2 linked regions of the Elephas maximus indicus genome follow. The protein of the gene in region 1 interacts with the protein of each later gene in a pairwise test. Links are inferred from orthologs where the notes say so. Each region holds a gene or a part of one and is shown in the gene's direction. Other genes may lie near its edges.

What was found.
Region 2: the proteins of ZCCHC10 (region 1) and SFMBT1 interact in binary tests that used the Homo sapiens proteins (3 or more experiments, as listed by UniProt). The two-hybrid records come from large-scale screens. The link is inferred for Elephas maximus indicus from reciprocal best matches to the Homo sapiens genes ZCCHC10 and SFMBT1.

Annotation. Positions count from the first base shown.
Region 1 is NC_064820.1:124,403,809-124,414,195, forward strand, and holds the start of ZCCHC10 (zinc finger CCHC domain-containing protein 10), read left to right. Parts: upstream 1-5,869; 5' UTR 5,870-5,899; coding exon 5,900-5,940; intron 5,941-10,387.
Region 2 is NC_064838.1:57,246,052-57,256,107, reverse strand, and holds the start of SFMBT1 (scm-like with four MBT domains protein 1), read left to right. Parts: upstream 1-5,736; 5' UTR 5,737-6,021; intron 6,022-6,042; exon of another isoform or gene 6,043-6,688; intron 6,689-10,056. UniProt on the Homo sapiens protein: Histone-binding protein, which is part of various corepressor complexes. Mediates the recruitment of corepressor complexes to target genes, followed by chromatin compaction and repression of transcription.

The DNA of each region.
Region 1 (10,387 bases):
TTAATTAAGGAAGGCAGCTCTTGCCCCATTCCACAGAGCTTCAAGCATCATTCTCAGCCCCAAACCCAGGATCATTTAGAAAACCTGATTTCATACCCACAGAGGCCAAGATCCCCTCTCTCAACTCCACTTGTATGGTCACTCCTTTTTCCAAAACAATTGGCCTCCTTACTTTGAACTTCTCCCTTATGTAGCCAAATTCTCCTATTTTACTGGATGGAGAAGAGCTCTTTGTGTTGTACGTAAAGACATAGGAAGGGAGAACCCACATTTGATTTCATACCAAGGCCCAATTTTATCAGTTACAACACTGAAGTTTCCTGAATAGTTACCACAAGTAGTTGTAAAATGTTATGAAAGGGTAAAAAACATTTTTATTTATTTATTTTTTTAGGGAAAAAACTGATTCTGAGTTCCAGGAAAGGTGGAAAGATCAGCCCTCTCTTCTATTTTGATCTTGGTGTAGCTGGTTTGTATGTGGTCAGAGTCACAAAATATTTTGTAAAAATGCTTTCACCAACTTCTGGTGCAGGACCAGTGCAAAATTTCAAAATTTGCAGGGCCTAGTGCAAAATTAGGAGTTTCCAGGTGTGCAAAGGGATAAGCACTTGACTACTAGCTGAAAGCTTGGTGGCTCTAGCCCACCTAGAGGCACCTCACAAGACAGGCATGGTGATCTGGTTCCAAAAAGTCACAACTTTGAAAACCCTATGGAGCAGTTTTCCATATACATAGGGTCACCATGAGTCGGAATCTACTCAACAGCAACTATACAACAAGAAGTGCAAAATTAAAATGTGGGGCTCCTTCTTCAAAAATTAAGATTTTCAAAACAGTGACAGCAGAGCATTAAACCAATTAAACCCTTCTAAGCGTGGGGCCCTGTGTGACTGCATAGTTTACCCGACCACTAAACATGCTCTGTTCTTGTGTTTAGCCCTCTAACCATAGGCTCTCATAAACAGGCCAGGGACAGGACAGGAAACAGTCAAAGCATCCTGACCAACAGAAACTCAGTTCTGAGAGATGCAGGTCTCGCCTCAGTACACGCCTTTTATATTTATTCCTCCCCTCCCCAGTTTGAGCCAACTTACATAACTAGAAGACACTTTCAGGAGATTTTCTCAGAACAAAGCAATAGTTTGCTTAAAGACTTAGAGTGTTCACTCTTGCCAGATAGAAATTACTTGCAGCTTTCACATGAGTTTTTCATTTTTACGTATTAAATCTATCCATTAAGTTTTACAAAATCTTAGTACCTCCATTGAGGCCCTCAAGCTCATGGGCCTCAATGGAAAGCGGCTACGGTGGCATAGTCTTGTCACTGAGAAAGCAAGTAATTGTTGTGCTTTTATTTTCTGCCTGGCCCTGTCTTACTTATCTTGTGCTGCTATAACAGAAATACCTCAAATGGAGGGCTTTAACAAAGAGAAATTTATTCTCTCACAGTTTAGGACGCTAGAAGCCTGAATTTACGGTACCAGTTCCAGGGGAAGGCTTTGTCTGTCTGTTAGCTCTGGGGGAAGGTTCTCGTCATTAATCTTCCCCTGGTCTAGGAGCTTCAGTGCAGGGACCCCAGGTCCAAAGGACATGTTCCACTCCTGGCTCTCTTTCTTGATAGTATGAGGTCCCTCTCTTCTCTGCTTGATTCTATCTTTTATATCTGAAAAGAGACGGACTCAAGATGCAACCTAATCCTATAGACTGAGTCCTGCCTCATTAACATAACTGCCTTTAAGCCTGCCTCATAAAGGTTAGGATTTACAACAGATAGGATAATCACATCAGATCACAAAATGGTAGACAACCACATAATACTGGGAATCATTGCCTAGCCAAGTTGACACACATTTTGGGGGGACACAATTCATTCCATGACAGGCCCCTATGTTGAACTTTCTAGGAGCTTTTAGTTATTTCTCATACGCTTTCTAGGTGTGCAATCAAATAATCACAAATGATGTCATTTGCTTCCTCCTTTCGATTTGTTGTATCTCTTATTTTGTCTCCTGCCTTTTCATGTTTGCTGTAACGCAGTTTTTTTTTAAGTTTGTTGACAGCTAAAAGAGATTTTAATAACATTTTGTGGGAAACTTGAAAATATGAGAACAAAGCTCGTTTAGAAGAATAAATGCCTAAGAGCAATACAGAAAATTGAGGAAAAAGGAGGGTATATTAAGAGGGATTTGCCTTACCAGGTATCAAAATATCCTATGCTGTTGTTGTTTGCTGTAGAGTCAATTCCAACTTAAAGAACCCCATAAAACAGAGTAGAACTGCCCAATAGGGTTTCCCAGGCTGTAATCTTTATGAAAGCAGATCGCCAAGGATTTTCTTGTGAGGAGCTGCTAGTGACTTAAACAGCCAACGTTTCAATTAACAGCCAAGTGCTTAACCATTGTGCCACCAGGGCTCCTTAAAATATCCTATAGAAGCATGGTAATTAAAACAGTAGAAGTCCTGGCACAAATAGATTTTTGGAAGAAAATAGAATGCATAGACTAAATTTGTCCGTATTTAATACACGAAAGAATGGCATTTCAAATCAATAGAGAAGTGATAGATTATTTAATAAATGGTATTTCAGTAACATAAAAATTAGGACTAAGGTAAAACCATGATAACAAAACTGTATTACAGTTGCAATTATATAATTACAAAAAATATATAAATAATCTTTGGACATAAAAGGCCATTCTAAAAGTGGTCCAAATCTGGGAATCCATAGAGGAAAAGACTGTTAAATATGCCTATATAACAATGCTAAAAAAAAAAAAAAAAAAATCCTCCATAATGGTAAATGATCACAAAGTTAAAAAGACAACAGACAAATTAGGAAAAATATTTGTAACCTATAAAATAAAGGGTTTATTAATAATATTAAAAGTTTCTACAAATAATTTGAAAATTCAACAGGAAAATAGGAAAAAATTTGAACAGACAATTCATGAAAGAAGTACACTGTATCAATGATAATTACAAAAGGTACTTAATATATTGGCTTAGTTTGGGTTCTCTAGAGGAACAAAACCAATGAGATGTATATATGTGTGTATATATATGTATATATACATATAAAACTTCCATTGCCATCAAGTCTATTAGTGACCCTATAATACAGAGTAGAACTGCCCCAAAGGGTTTCCAAGGAGTAGCTGATGGATTCTAACTGCTGACCTTTTGGTTAGCAGCTGGCCTCTTAGCCACTACGCCAGCAGGGTTCCATATATGTATGTAGATGTACCTACATCATATCTATATCTATCGTATACATATCTATCATATCGTATCTATATCTGGTGGTGCAGTGGTTACGAATGCAGCTGTTAACCAAAAGGTCTGCAGTTGGAATCCACCAGCCACTCCTTAGAAACACTATGGGGCAGTTTTATTCTGTCCTATAGGGTTGCTATGAGTCAGGATTGACTTGATGGCAATGGGTTTGTTTCATTTTTGTAAATAAAGAAAGAGAGAGAGAGGAGTTGATTGATTTACTTCAAGGGATTTGCAAATGTAATCGTGGGGCTGGCATGTCCAAAATCCATAGGCCAGGCAGCAGGCCAGAGGCTTCTGCAGTCTCACATTCCAAGATCCACAGACCAGGTGATGAGGTAAGTGCAGGGTCAAAAGAAAGAGAGAAAGTGAGCTCTGCCAGAATATCCGTTTATCCAGTACCAACTGATTGGTTGATCATATCAGATCACATCACAGAAAGTGATTACATTATGGAACAGCAACCAGTCCAATATCTGGCCAAACCACTGAGAACCATAGTGTAGCCAGGCTGACATAAAAAATTAACCATCACATATATGACTTATTAGATAGCTATAAGTTTAAAAGTTTGACCATTCTCTCTTAAAAACTTGTGAGCAGCCATCTAAGATACTCCACTGGTCTCACCCCATCTGGAGCAAGGGAGAATGAAGAAAGTCAAAGATACAAGAAAAAGATTAGTCCAAAGGACTAATGGAGCACAACTGCCATAGCCTCCACCAGACTGAGTGCAGTACAACTAGATGGTGCCCGGCTACCACCACTGACTGCTCTGACAGTGACCACAATAGAGGTTCCCTGACAGAGGTGGAGAAAAATGTAGAACAAAATTCTAATCACAAAAAAGGACTAGACTTATTGGCCTGACAGAGACTGAAGAAACTCTGAGAGTATGTCCCCCGGATGCCTTTTTAGCTCAGTAATGAAGTCACTCCTGAGGTTCACCCTTCAGCCAAAGATTATACAGGGTCATAAAACAGAACAAGACTAAATGGGGACACCAGCCCAGAGGCAAGGACTAGAAGGCAGGAGGGGACAGGAAAGCTGTAACAGAGACCCAAGGTCAAGAAGAGGAGATTGTTGACATGTCATGGGGTTGGTAACCGATGTCACAAAACAATATGTGTACTAATTCTTTAATGAGAAGCTAGTTTGTTCTGTAAACCTTTATCTAAAGTACAATTAAAAAAAAGGAAAAGTTTGACTATTCTCAGTTCTGGGGAGGAAATGGGTTTGGTTACCACCTATTTAAAGGGCAATCTGCTAGTATCTATCAATAGTGTACATACCCTTTGATCCAGCAATTCCACTTGTAGGAAGTCACCCTACAGAAACATTTAAGCATTCATTCTGTTCCTTCCATCTTTGCGGTAAATGATCCAATTGTATAATAATAGGATACTGGTTGGATAAATTGTGGAACATCCAATCTAAAAAAAAAAAAAACCAGTTGCTATTCACTTGATTCTGACCTCGTAGAGACCCACAGAACAGAGTAGAACTGCCCCGTAGAGTTTCCAAGGAGCGCCTTGTGGATTGGAACCGTCAACCTTTTGGTTAGCAGCCATGGCACTTAACCACTACCCCACCAGGGTTTCCAAATAATCTATATAATGTAACAAATAGAAACAATGCATTAAATTTGTATGTGCCGATATGGGGAAAATGTCCGTAATACATTGAGGAATATAAAAAGCAAACTGAAGCACACAACAGATAGTAAGATATCATGTGCTCCAAGGTCACATCAGCATCCTTTCAACTCCCAAAACTAATCACTTGTAACCACCTTATACTGAACTACTTTTCTTTGGAATGCTGTACTTCTGCTCACTGGACAGTCTTCATGTGTTTGCTTACTGTCTGTGGAAAGCTCCATGTGCACAAGGACTTTATTTTTTCAATGCTCTATCCTCAGTTCCTAAAACATTTTAAGTGTCTAATAATTAATTCAAAAAATATGGAGTAACACAGATATATATATATATATATGAACTTTATGTTTCAAACAATGTGGATTTAAGAGAATATCCCCATGATCTAATGTTAAATATATGTACAGCTAAAATATAATATTTGTGTCATCGTTTTCCAATTGACAAAGTTTCACTTATATAGTCTCATTTGGCCCTTACAACATCCCTCTGAAATACATAAAAATAATTAACAGATGCTTGCACTTCACGGTTTGTTAAAGCCATTCTTTCAACTGATGGTCACAGACCTGTTAACTTATCCCTTCCTGTTTACTTGCAAGGCTACTCCTAGTTTTTAGAACACTGCATACTGTCTTTGTATATGGAGTTCCGTAGTTCCAAAATGTTCTTCCCTGCCTCCGCATCCCCGCATCATACGTGTACTCATCCTTCAAAACCCACTTGTAGGCCCGACAGCTGGCCTCCCCGCTCTTCCTCAAACTCAGGGACCCACACAGCAGACACCTGCGATCACACAGCAGACACCTGCGATCACACACCACCCACTCTCTGTAACTGGAAGCTGCCTGAGAGACACTCGAGGCCCGTCTGGCTCCGCCCACGTCTGCGGCCTCCGGGGTTCGAAGTCTCCGCCCCCTCCGAGGAGTTTCCCAAGACCCAGCGCGGCACTTCTCAGCCGCGCTAAGATGGCGACTCCCATGCACCGGCTCATAGCCCGGAGACAGGCGTAAGTAAGGGACCGTTTCGGGCCCCAGGGTGAGCTGGAGACGAGGAGATACGCGTCAACCGACTGATGAGCGGGCGCTGGGATGCGGGGCCGTTTCTGCATCCCCACTGGGGACCGGCGGAGGGTGGGCGTTCTTTTTACACGTCACCTGCTCTCGAGGGTCTCGGGCCCGGGTGGTTAAGTTTGGTGCCCACTGTCTAGCGATTTCGCGGAGGACGACGTACGCTTATATAAGGTCCACGGGTCTGGACAGAGGTTGGTTTGAGGAGAGCCGCCGCATTTGTTTCCTCTGAAGGGGACGCCCAGGAGTTGGTTACTGAGTGGTTTCGTGACGGAGAGTGTGCCTCTCAGCCCACTCAGTCGACCACCCTACGCACGACCAAGGGAGGCTTGAAGCTCTGATCGGACTCCACCACTCTCGCCGAGATACCCTTCAGCCCCCTGTGAAGTCTCAGCTCAGCTGACTTTTCCTGCCCCCTCACTATCGACTTCCCTACAAGCGGCAGAACTGTAAGGCCAACTTTTCTCCCACGCTATCCCCTGGTTTTCTACCATTCATGTACTCTGTCAACAAACGTTTATTCAGTACCTACTGCTCTGTGCAAGAATTTGAATGTAAAAAAAAGAGGTGTTCCAGATAGAATCCCTGCTTTCAGGGAGCTTACATTCTAGTGGTGGAGATAATCAATAAACCAAACAAATTTAGTAAGTACAGTTAGTGATGAGAACTTTAAAGGAAATAAAGTAAGATAAAAAGGAGCCCTGGTGGTGCAATGCTTAAGTGCTCGGCTGCTAACCTAGAGGTTGGTGGTTCAAACTCACCCTTGCTCTGTGGAAGAGGGAGGTGGCAGTTGGCTTTCCTAAAGATTTACAGCCTTGGAAACCCAGTGGGGCAGTTCTACTCTGTCCCATAGGGTCTCTGTGAATTGGAATTGACTCGATGGCAAGGGGTATGGTGTGATGTGTAAGAGGAAAAAACCCACTTAAAATTGGGTGAACTGAAAAGGCATCTCTTAAAAGGTGGAATTTGAACAAAGATTATAAGGGAGGGAAAGGAGGCAGTCATGAGCAGACTTGGGGAAGAGTATCCAGACAATGGCATAATTGCTTTGAGGCTGGAAAAACTTAGTTTTAAGAACTGAAAGAAGGCCATTGTAGCCCATGGGCAAGAGAGAGTGGAACAAGCTAAAATTACAGCGGTTTGTGGCAGACATAATGCAGGAGCCATCCCAAATGTCCCCTTCTTGTAAAGCCTTCTACCAACATGCACACAAACAACCTCAGCCCCTTCATTCTCTCATCATTTCATGCCATCACTGTGTGCACATCTCTAATGCATAGATCACCATATATATTTGTTTATAGTTCTTTTTATATTTACATTTCTAATCTCAGATCCCTGTTCTTTCTCTTTTCCTCTTCATCTGACCCTACTCTCATGAGGAGCTCAAGGAGAGCGTGTAAGGATAAAGACTCAGGGAGTTAGAGAAGTAAACTTGGTTGAAGAGAACTTCAAAGTCACACAGTTCTGAGATCAAGAATGAGGTGATAATAATACTTAATAGGACTGCTAAGTGATGTCACCAGGGTCCCATATCTCCCTGTCTTTCTCTAGTGTGCTCTTTTGGGTGTTGGCTCCACACTTGGATAGGATCTCTCCTTTGGTCCCAAGATAGCTGCCGTATCTAGGGTCCTTTTATGTCCTTTCAGCTTCAACTCCTTCAAATAAGGCAAAAATGATTTTATCTCATTGGTCTTGATTGTGTTACATGACCAACCCTGAACCATGTTTTTGAGAATTGTGAAGCCCTGATTGCCCTAGATTGCATTCGTCGCCCAGTACAATTGGCCATTTTACCATAAACCAATGATGAGCTGGGTGGGAAGGTCAGAAGTGGTGAATGAATGCCGGATTGGCAAAACTAGCCTATGTCTACTGTAAATATGAAGTAAAAACAAGACTTTAGCAACCAAAGAAAATTACCGTTTGTTTTTCACAGTATCAGAAAGATTAACAAAGGTAATGTTTCTAGAGTGTGCCTGGTTTTGGTACATAAGCCACACAGAAATAGAAAACAAATCTTACCTTTAGGAGCTTCTGGTCGTGTTGGGAAGAAAACATGTGCTGTATAATAAAAGATGGTGTCGTATATAGACTAAGTTACCCAGGGATTCAGAGAAGAAGGTACTTTATAGGCTAGGGGAGTCCAGGAATGTTTGGAGAATATACAAGAGTGGAGACAGCAGGAGAGGAGCCTTTACTTTTCATTTTATATTCAACAAAAAGATTTCATTTTATGTATAACGGGCATATATTACTTTCATAATAGTAAGTTTAAAACTTTGTTTTAGGGTTATGAGAAGTGAGGAAGTATATTGTTTTCATTCTTTAATAAACTTTCTGGATTAATAGACAAGGGGTGAGGGTGGAGAGGAATAAAAGAAAAAAAAGAAAGTGAGCCTAAATTTGAACTCCCCATTCAGTATATCTTCCTGGAACTTTTTATTATCAAGCTCCTTTAAGTCAGTTGGGATGAAATTACTTCATCTTGTGAATTATAATGACATCTGCCCATACGTAAGTAGATTGTAGAATCTTGGCACTATCCACTGTCTTCTACTAAACCCTCTACTGGTTTCCATTATTTGCTCGTCAGCATCCAGAGTAGCCATCTAATTTTGCCTTGAAGACGTCTAGTAATGACAAACTCACTACCTCCTGAAGTGAGTTGTTACACTTTTCAAGTCTGTCCAAAAGTTTATGTTGAGCTGGAAGGAAAAGAATATTTATGAAGGCAAAACCTTCTAACTTCCCTGCTTTTGACCCAAGCTGTGATTTCAGTTAGTTAAAAACCCTAAGTGTTTCCCACATGAACTGGCATCAAGTCTGGCCTCCCCTGTCCTGTATTTGTATTGATTTTCTGGAATTCAGTGTCAGACTTACTTTTATCCTTGTTAACTTTCATCTTGTTAGACTTGACACAGAGTTCCAGCCTTTCAAGATCTTTTTAGATCCTGATTTGGTCATCTACCATATTAGCTATCCCTCTCAGCTTTGTGTCAACTGCAGGTTTGATAAATATGAACAACTGTGTCCTCATCCAAGGCATTGATAAAAATGTTGGACAAGACCAAATTGAGGACAAAAACCCTGCAAGCAACCATTGGATACCTCTCTGTATATTTCAGCCCATTAAACAGCACTCTGTCCTTGATGTTCAGCTGATTGTAAATCTACTTAAGGTTCATAAAGGTAATTGTGAGAAACTTCTAAGATGCCTTATTGAAGTACAGATACACAACAGGCAATGAGGTATTAGTCTGTAATGATTTGACACCTAATGATCACGGCTTCTCTTTCTGAGTAGATTTAATAAATCCAGCCAGAATTTTTCATAGAATAGATGTCAAGTTCATTGGTCTAGTTTGTGGAATCTACCTTTTTTCCCCTTTGAAAATCAAAACAGCATTTGACTACCTATAGTCTCTCAGCATCACTCCTGTTTGCCAAAGTTCCTCAGATTACCAGCAGCAGTACAGCAGTCTCACCTGGAAAATCTCTCAGTATGTAGGGGAGTAGTTCACCTGCGCCACGTGACAGTTAAGGTCTCCTTTACCCACTCCTTAGGTATCTTGGGCTTCAATTTTACTCTTTTCATTCTGCGTATAATTTTTTTGAGAGTTAAGACAGGAGCAAAATAAAAATAGTCTTGTTTGCTCTCTGATGACAACATTGGTGTCCTGTTTCCCTAGCACCTCCAATCATGAGCCTGTCTCTTTTTTTGATTCTTTGTGCTTTGAATATAACCAAAACTATAAAACCATTTTTTATGTTCTTGGTATTTTTCATTCAGCTCTTTTTGACAGAAGTCTTCCAGATATTTCTCTTACAGGCTTTTACTACTCTTCTGTACTCTTCCTTAGTTATATGTTCTTTTTAAAAATGTCATTTAAAATATTGTTTTATGATTTTGCATGCAGTCTGTATTCATTATAGAAAAGTTAGGAAATATGCATAAGGGGGAGAAAAAGGATTATAACCCTATACCAAAGATAGTTGTTTACATTTCAGTATGTAACCTTTTAGACCATTTATAACATTTTAAATAGCCTCATAGTATTCTCTGTATGAATACATGTAACTTTTTGGTCAGTTTCTCTGTTGTTTCATAGTTAGGGTTACTTTTTCTTTTATAATTTATTTTATTATTGTTGTCGTTATTGAGATTGTACACAGCAAAACATGTAATTCAGCAGTTCCTTCATGTACCATTTAGTGACATTGATTACATTCTCCCTCTAAGGTTCCTATCTAATTTTTTGAGTTGCTGTTGTCAGTTTGATCCCATATGGATCTTAAAAGAGCATAATGCTCAGGGCAGACATTTTTTACTAGTTAAGCTAAATTATTATTTGGCTTTAAGAAGACTTGAGGGGATCTTTTTAG
Region 2 (10,056 bases), on another chromosome or scaffold:
GGTTTAAAAGTACAAGGCACAATAACATAAAATTGAGAACTTTGTGCCCATTAGCTTATTATCCTATGAATTGGGAAAAGAGGGCTGTGGAGACAGAGAAGAATCCCTGGGGATGAGTGAGGCATGGCCCTGGGCTTGTGGCGCTCATGGATGGAGAAGGGAGGTGAGGGGTCTGTGCCTGGCCCACGGCTGGCGACTAAGGAAAAACAATTATATCTCATAGTTCTGTTATGTTTTACAGTTTGCAAAGAGTGTTTACAAACATCATCGCCTTGGAGTCTCAAAACCCAGGGAGGTAGATGGCCTTCATCCCCATTTTGCAGAGATGACGAAACAAGGCCCAGAAAGGTAAAGGCCCAGAGCAGGTCCCATGGAAGATTCCCACAGAGAAGCCGTGGCTTAATCTGGGCTTGACCCCAGGGTGTCTGCCTTCTAGCCTAGCACTTTTTCCCTTACAACATACCCTAGGGAAGAGGGGTGTCTTGGGGATTTGCAGGAGCCAAGACAGAGACAGGTAGGGCAGGTATGGGGGGACACATGGCAGAAGCCAGCTGAGCTCAGCAGAGAGCAGCATGGCTTGAGCAGTGGTTTTCTGGTGGTGATCACTTGACCACTCCGGTAATTAGTCTCAGGGAATCATTACATGGCTCGCTTCACTTGGGCTGACTGAAGGGAGCTGGCTGGTCAGTGGCAACGGCAGGCTGCTGATTGCTGATGGCAGGGCTTGGCAGGGCTGTGGAACTTAAATTCTTGGGTTGAAAATGGCTCTGCCAGTCCCTGGGGTCCAGCCTCGGACCTTGGGTTCTCACCCAGGATAGGACCCTGAGCTGATGCTCACCCCAGAGAGCAGGCCTGCTCGGAAGTAGCAGGCAAGGCTCCGGGGGACCAGGGTCCATATGGAACGACCAACAACTGACCCCTCGGTCAGTGAGGATGGGAACCATAGCCCTTACCCTAGAGAGCTGGCAGGGAGACTGTCTTAGTCATCTAGTGCTGCTGTAACAGAAATACCACAAGTAGATGACTTAAACAAAGAGAAATTTATTTCTTCACAGTAAAGTAGGCTAAAAGTCCAAATTCGTGTCGTCAGCTCCAGGGGAAGATTTTCTCTTCCTGCTGGCCTTCGCATCAATCTTTCCCCAGACTAGGAGCTTCTCTGTGCAGAGACCTTGGGTTCAAAGGACATGCTCTGCTCCTGGCGCTGCTTTCTTGGTGGTATGAGGTCCCCCTGTCTCTCTGCTTGCTTCTTCCTTTTATATCTCAAGAGATTGCCTCAAGACACAATTCAATTTTGTAGATTGAGTCTTGCCTCACTAACAACTGCCAGCCATGCTCCCTTATTAACATCACAGAGGCAGGATTTACAACATATATGAAAATCACACGATACCGGGAATCATGGCCCAGCCAAATCGATACACACATTTTTGGGGGGACATAATTCAATCCATGACGGAGACCAAGTTGGGAATGGCCAGAGACTGGGCATGCCAGCCTCTGGTCTTGGATGCTGCCAAATGACCGGCTAGCCACCCACTGCCTCTAGGGGTCATTGTCCAGATAAGGAAAGGGCTGGCCTCATGGTGAACAAGACAGGCACATCTCTGCACTCAGGCAACTGATGTCTGTCTGTAGGGGGTAGAGAGGAGACAGAGCCCAAACAAATGACAAACAAACATGGGTATAAATTGTAAATACTAACTGTGAAGGAAACAGGTAGGGGAAAGAGAGAGGGAATCTGTTTAGATGGGGTGGGTAGGGAAGGTCTCTTTTAAACAGACACCAGAACAATGAGAAGGTAGAGATTGTGCTAGGCAGTAGGAAGAGCATATGCGAGGGCCCTGAGGTGGGAGGGAACTTGGCACATTTATGGAATGGAAAGGAGACAGGTGCAGCTGAAATGCAGTGAGAAACGCAGGTGAGTGATGGCAGATGAATTTGGAGGTGGGCAGGGCCAGCCTTGTAGGCCAAAGTAAGGCTTTTGGACTTACTCAAATTGATGGGAAGCCTTGGGAGGCTTTCAGGTTGTGGTGTGCCATGAAAAGAAGTCAGTTTTCCACAGGTTACTCTGGCTCTATGCTTCTCCGGGGGCTGTCTGTTCTGTGAATAACTGCCCACCTGAATTTCCAAGTAGCAGGGTGGCTGAGGAGCTGGCATACCTGGTTCATGGCCTAGTTTTGTCTCTCACTAAGGGTGACCTGGGAGGCCCTGGTTTGCTGTTCTTTTATTGGGTATGCCTCCACTACCCTGACGGATGCTTAGAGGCCGTCACCACACTTACCACACAGGGCCCAGTGCAAGGAAGGTGCTCAAACGACGCTTTCAACCATTCCTCATGGTTGTCTGATTTTCCTTTTCCTTAGGGGTCATGAAGGTGAGTGGTGGAGAGAGGCTGGAATTAATGAAGGACCTACCTCGATTTTGTCTGCGAGATTTAAAATATTTGAATACATTGAAAGATAGTGCATGTCCTCGTTAGTAAAGTACAGTGTTATAGAATATTTGATCTGTTCAAGCTACTTCATAGGTTTGATGCAACTTCATGCAAAATCACAATATGAGTTTTTTGGAACTAAAAGTATCAGCAACAACAATTACTGACATTTAGCAAGCATTTACTACATGCCAGGCATGGAACTTGTGAGGCAAGTGTTGCTGTCATCCCTGTGTCATAGACTAGGACCCTGAGACCTAGAGGAGATAAGTAAATTGCTAAGATTACAGATCTGGAAAGTGTTGAACCTGGGTGGTCTATCCCCAAATGTAAACTAGTGTGGATACCAAGTGAATTTCCATATTGTCTTTTCATTTGTGGTTAAAAAAAAAAAAAAAAAATCCCACAAGGGGGAATCTTACCCCTGTCAGATGTTACAGCCTATTTCAAAGAACCAATATTTATGTCCCTGTAGTATTTGCTCAGACCAAGGTCTTTGGAAGGAAATGGAAAATTCAGAAATAGACCAACCAAAATCAAAATCCTGACATAAAATCTAACCTAAAAGTAGGTTTGACTGAACAAAGGGTAAGGGAAGACTTATTTAATAAATGGTGTCTGCATAATCAGATAACAACTGGTTACAGTGGCAGTGAGTTAAATTCCTATTTTACTCCACACAGCATGATAAACTGGGGACGGATAATCATCAAAGAATTAAATATAAAATGGAATTGTAGAAAAACTAGCAGAAAATAGATTATCAGATGGGTGGAAGAAAGCTCACTTTGTTGGGACTGAAGCAATAAAAAAATCACAAAGGACTAGAATGACAGATTGAACATTAAAATAAAATGAACGAAAATAACAGACTGGGAAATATTTGCATCAATGATGACAAAGGAATAGTATCTGTAATTAAAAAAAAAAAATGCTGTTCAAAGTTAGAAGGTCAAGTCCCCAAGAGATGGAAGGATATGAACAGTTGGTTCACAGAAGGGGGATTAGGGATAGTAAATGCATGGAAAAAAATTCATTTTTGAAAGTCATCTAGGAAATGTTAATTAAGGTAACCTTGAACTACCAATAGACAATAGGAAAGTAGGGGGAAACATGGTACCAAATGCTTAGAAATGTTATGTTGAACTCCTTATGCTTATTTCTAGGAGGTGGTAGAGTGAGGGAGGGCAGCTTTTTGAGAAAGTCAAATGCCAGGGCAGGACCAGCTGCCTTCCATCTGATTATTCAACTCCTGGGAATTTGTCCCAAGTGCAGAATTCAAAAATGTATTAGCAAACATTTGTAAAGAACCAAAATATACTATATTACGGGACTGAGTGGATAGATGAAGATACCTGCACCCCTTAAAAATGAATCAGGTGACTGCCCATCAACGGATGAATGGATAAATAAATTATGGTATATTCATACAATGGAATACTACGCATCGACAAAGAACAGTGAGGAATCTGTGAAACATTTCATAACATGGAGGAATCTGGAAGGCATTATGCTGAATGAAATTAGTCAGTTGCAAAAGGACAAATATTGTACAAGACCACAATTATATGAACTTGAGGAACAGTTTAAACAGAGAAGAAAATATTCTTTGATGGTTACGAGAGGGGGAAGGGAGGGAGGGTGGGAGAGGGATTTTCACTAATTAGATAGTAGATAAGAACTACTATAGGTGGTGGGAAAGACAACACACAATACCAGCGAGGTCAGCACAACTGGACTAAACCAAAAGCAAAGAAGTTTCCTGAATAAACTGAATGCTTCGAAGGCCAGCGTAGCAGGGGCAGGGGTCTGGGGACCATGGTTTCAGGGGACATCTATGTCATTTGGCATAATAAAATCTATTAAGAAAACACTCTGCATCCCACTTTGGAGAGTGGCGTCTGGGGTCTTAAATGCTAGCAAGCATCCATCTAAGATGCATCAATTGGTCTCAACCCACCTGGATCAAAGGAGAGTCAAGAACACCAAGGACAAAAGGTAATTACGAGCCCAAGAGACAGAAAGGGCCACATAAACCAGAGACTACATCAGCCTGAGACCAGAAGAACTGGATGGTGCCTAGCTACAACCGATGACTGCCCTGACAGGGACCACAACAGAGAAACCCTGAGGGGGCAGGAGAGCAGTGGGATGCAGACCCCAAATTCTCCTAAGAAGACCAGACTTAATGGTCTGATTGAGACTGTAAGGACCCCAGTGGTCATGGCCCCCAGACCTTCTGTTGGCCCAGGACAGGAACCACTCCCAAAGCCAACTCTTCAGGCAGGGACTGGACTGGACAATGGGTTGGAGAGGAGTGAGCTTCTTGGATCAGGTGCACACTTGAGACTATGTTGGCATCTCCTCTCCGGAGGGGAGATGAGAGGGTAAAGGGGGTTAGAAGCTGGTGAAATGGACACGAAAAGAGAGACTGGAAGGAGGGAGCAGATTGTCTCATTAGGGGAAGAGCAATTGGGAGTATGTAGCAAGGTGTACATAAGTTTTTGTGTGAGAGACTGACTTCATTTGTAAATTTTCACTTAAAGCACAATAAAAATTAAAAAAAAAGAATCAGGCGGAGAAAAGAAAAATGTTAGTGAAAGCAGCAAAACACAAAAGTATGCAACTATGCAAAAACATATTTACGGAAGATTTTCTGCTTGAAAAGTTGCGTTCTGTAGTAGCATTATGGATACTTTATTCTTTTTACATTTTTCTTTCTCTCTGCTTGTTGTATTCTCTTTTCACTAGATAAAAAAAAAAAAAACAAAACAAAAACGTGGATTCAAATCCAGCCAGCAGTGTAACTTTGAGCAAGTTTGTCTGTAAAATGAGGTAACATTCCCAGCGCGGTGGTGAGGGCAGTAGGAGGTGGCCTGAGCGGGTGTTTGGCACACTGTGGGTATCCCAGACCTCTCCCTAGAGTCGAGGTCGCCTCCTCCTTCCTGAACAGCAGGAACCCTCCCCGCCCAGTCCGAGACCTTCCCCGGGCCAGGGAGTCTGAGAGGTGGGGGGTGGGCGGCGAAGGAAACCTCCCTTAGGAGGGAATTTTCTGGAGCAGGTGTGTGGGGGTGTGCCCCACGGGCACCTGTGCTCGCTAGGGAAGTTTCGCTCTCGGGGACTGCGACCACCCGTAGCCACCTCGGGCTGCAGGGCTGGCTTGCAGCCACCCTCGAGGTTCTATTCCATCCGAGGCCCCAGCTCTCCAGCCAAGATTCCGCAGCGGTCCAGTGCCCTCGCCGGTGTCCTGAGCGGCAAGGAGAACTCGGATTTACAGGGAGCCTCCTGCGGAAGCCTAGGGAAACCGGGTGCGCCGGGAACCTGGGTTGCACTTCGCACACAGGGGCCACTTGGGGGCCATTCCAGGTCGAAAAGAACGCGCCCGTCCCCGACGTGGGTCAGGCGGGCGGGCGCAGCTCCCCCGGCCACCACGCGCGCCCATCTGGGGCCGGGCGGCGCTCCGTTCTCTCCTCCGCTAATGCCATCGTGCCCGCGGCGGTGACGTGCGGGCGACAGCGGCGCGCTTCGCCTGGGCCCGGACGCCAAAACCGACCCGGGGACGCCAGCGGATCCGTCCACAGCCTGGGGTGAGGCGCGGGCCCGTCCCTCCGGATCCGAACAGGGCCAGGGCGGGCGCTGGTCCCCGTGGACGTGTCCCCCCGTCGGGGCCCGTCTGCGCAAGGCCACCGCGCCGTCGGGGACCCGAGGAGACGCCGCGTCCCGGCGCCACGGCCTCCCGGGCATCCGCGGCGAGTTGCGGGCTGGAGGCGCGAGGGGCCGAGGGCGCGGGCGGCTGGCAGAGCTGCGGACCGCTGGCAGCACTCGACCCTCGCCTCCTCCCGCGTCCCCGGCTGGCCCAGCGGGAAGACGCGCGGGCGAGCGCGGGGAGGCCAAGCTGGGGGCGCCACGCGCGCGACGCGAGGGGCGCGGGCTGCCGGGAGGACCGCGGAGGTGAGGGGGTGGGGGGGCGCGGGCGCATGCGCCCTGCGCCTGTGCCATATTGGAATGAGTCGGAGCGCGGAGCGCCGCCGCCGCCTCCGCCGGAGCGCGGGTGGAGGGGGGCGGGGAGAGCTGCCGGCCGCCCGCTCCGCCGAGCCCAGCAGGAAGGAGGGCGCGAGCGGGCGAGCGCAGGCGGCGCAAGCGGAAAAAGCGCCCGCTCGGGGAAGCAAAAAGAAGGAAAGAAAGAAAGAGAACGAGCGCGAGAGGAAAAAAAGCGAGCGATTGAGCCAGCGCGCGCGCGAAAACTCCCGGCAGGTAAAAAAGCGGGCCGCCAGCTGGGCCTTCCCGCGCGGCGGCCTGAAGGGGCGGCGGCGGCGCCGGGGTGGGGAACCCGCGGCGCCCCCCTCGAGGCGGCCGCGCAACTTTGCCAACGGAAAATCGCCGGGCGCCGGCAGGCGCGCAGGCTGAGGCGCCAACGGGCGGCGGCGGCACGTTGGGGGCGGGGGCGGAGCGGGGGGAGCGCGGCGTCTGCGCGCGCCCGCGTCCCCGCTCGTCCCCGCGCGCCGGCCGCCCCGGCTGCAGGAGCGCGCCTGGGCGCCTCGCCGCGGCGGAGAGCGGCGGCGGCGGCCGTCAGTGCCGGCTCGGCGGCGCGCGTCAGCCCGCGGGAGGCGTGAAAGGAAAGTGTCCGGGCCAAGGCACGGGCGGGCGCCCAAGTTCCCGGCACGCTGGGCCCGCCGCGCGCCCCTCCCTGCGCCGCGCGCCCCGCCCCGCGCTCCCGCCCGCCGAGCCCCTGCGGACCCGCCCCCCGGGCTCGCTCCGGGGCCGAGGCGCGAACTCGCAGCGGGAGCCGGGGGCGCGCCGCCCGCGCGGCCGGGCCGAACTTCGCTGTGCCGAGGTGACCGCTGCGCGACTGCGAAGCGCCTAGCGGCCACCGCAACCGGTTGCTTCGGGCGTTGTGCAGTCCGCGGGGCCTCCCGGCGCCGCGCGCGAGCGGGCAGTGGGCTCGCCGGGTTCGCCGCCTGACCCCGAGCGGACCTGTTCAGCGTCCCGACCCGCCGTGCCACCCTGGAGATCCGTGACCGTTTCCATTCCTGTTGTTAAAGCCTTGTGCTGGGCACTGGGAAGGAGGCTGTGGAGAGGCAGGCAGTGTCCTGAAAAGCAAGGCCTGCTTTGTGGGGAGCACAAACGCCTTGTGAGAACAGAAATAAATTCCCGCGGGAAGGATGTATGTTAAGTTTTTCACAAAATGTCAGCTTTTCAGGCGGAGTCTAAATCTAAAGTGTAATGCCTAGGTCACACACAGGTGTTGTTGTGCTCAAGGAGTGGGGTTCTGGCGTTAAATAATCGGGAAGGGGGGAGGAAGACACTCCCATCAAAACTCAGGCAGAGTTGACCTAAGTGGGGGTTGTTCCCAGCGGGTCGCTCAAAGCAATCCTGGTTAATGGCCCCAAGTGATGTTTTGTGAGTCCTGTTCAGCAGCGATATGTTTTTGAGAACCAAGGCACCGTCAAAGAGATTTGAAGGGAGCTTAGATGGGTTTTAGCAGCGCCCCCCCACCCCGCGTGCCTTTTCCTCTTGAACCACATTTAGAAGATGTTAGACTTATTTTTTTTTTTTTTTGTATCTGAAGTAAAATGTCTGAAAATGTAATTGTTAATTGAGCAACTGTCTTGAGAGGATGAAGGGAGACGTATGTCTCTGTGAGGACACTTTGGGGCCTGTTGACCTCGTATTTTAAAGAAGGGGTTGCATGTTTCTAGGCCACAGATAGATTCAAAGTTCTGATTTGTTTACAATGTCAGAAAATAACGGCCTCGTGGGAAGGGAGTGGCCCAAGATCAGGAAACAGCTCTGTTACTGCCCTTGTCTTCTGGGTATCTTACCCTGGGTGCCTTCCTTACTCAGCCTTTATAGAACTGATTTTCCGCGTGCAGAATTAGGGGATGGATAGTTCATTTTTCAGTGTGCTTTAAGTTCTAAAATTTGACTTTCTTTTTTTTTTAAAAAAAGATCTAGAAAAATCACAGTCTAATTTTTGAAAAGTTCTACATAAAAGTGCTCACAATATGAATTTTTATTAAAATACATTTGGGAAAACATCTTGGTCAGCTATATTATCTGAACAAAGACTGAAAAATGTATTTGAATGTGTTTTAAAAATTATATTTACTCTTTTATTGAGTATAACTTACAGTAAGAGCTTGAGAGCACACTCAGTGACTTCTTACGTATATACGCTCTGATAACCACAATCCAATCAAGATACAGAGCATTTTCAGCTCTCCAAAGGGCTCCCTTTGTATCTCCTCCCCTTCAGTAAACACCTCCCTACTCCCCAAGGCGACCACTGTTGTGACTTGAGCCTCAGACCAGAACCCTTTTGAGGGTGGATTAAACCCAAGAACAGCAGGTATAAACCAGGAGATGTAGTCATCCTAGTCACAACCCTATGCTTTTATACTGATTCTTAGGGTTTTCATTGTCCACAATAGCTTAAAATTCTGACCTGAGAACTGAGAGTTTAGATCTGTGGTTCTAGGAAATCCTTGGTTCACAGGCACGGTTTGAATCTACTACTCCCCCGTTTTTAGAATACAGATATATTTGCAAACATTAGGTTTGAAAGATGAATCATGAATTTTCCGAAGTGAGAATTTAAGGTGTCAGTAGATGAACCAGTTTCTTGAAACTTAGAATCTCCCGAGGAGGAACATGTAAAAATCGATCTTTTAAAGTTCATTGAATGGAAGAATATGGATATAAAGCATTAAAAACCTTTTCAATGACACCAATGAACTTGATTTATATATGCAAGATAGTCTCCTGCTTTATCCAGCCATCAAAACTGGAACAGTGGAAGCAAAAACAGAAGGTAACTAAAAATTATGTCAGGTGTGGTTTTTTCTTAAATCTCAACATTGGATCCTTTTTTATATTAGACCTCTAGAAAGGTGGATTTTTTAAAATGTTCTCTACTGAAGCAATACTGCAACAATTTGCTTATCCTTCCCAAGGGCCTTTTAATATATTCTTATACTCTCGGTTCTGTTGCTAAAGGAGAGGAGTTATTTGTTCTAAGTAAATTCGTATTTTGTTAGTTCCTCACAAAGGCCTGTCTTTTTTATTTCACGGACATGTTTGTGATAGGAAGTTGGGAAGCATCTAAGGCCTGTGGTAGGGATATATGAGAAATAGTTGACGATGTGTTAGATTTTTCTTTCGTGACATGGTTCTGGTTATCTGTGACTCAGCCAACTGACTGGTCAACAGCTAAACCCAACAGTGCCTCGTTAGCCAAGAGACTAATTGATGATTTAGTTATTACTGATTTATCTTTTTTTTTTTTTGTATGTGGCTTCTTGTAAGATTTTTGGCTTTCAGATTTTTAAGAGATGCAACTTAAAGGGATGCAAAATGAGAAACAGAGAATACACATTAAAAGGAATTTGCTCTTTTGATATTTTCTTCTTCTGTGAAATGTTATTTTTTTCTTGAAAAATGTTTTGCTCTCCATAACCTTGTTGCTTCTGTAGGGTATTTTTGATTTCACAGTGAACTAGACTGGGCTTAGGTACAGAATGATGGTACGGAAGCAGGTCCCATTTTACTCTGAAGTCTGTAGATAATGTGAATTGTCCAGACTTTTTTTTCCCATAACTTCATGTTGTGTTCACGCTAAGTGA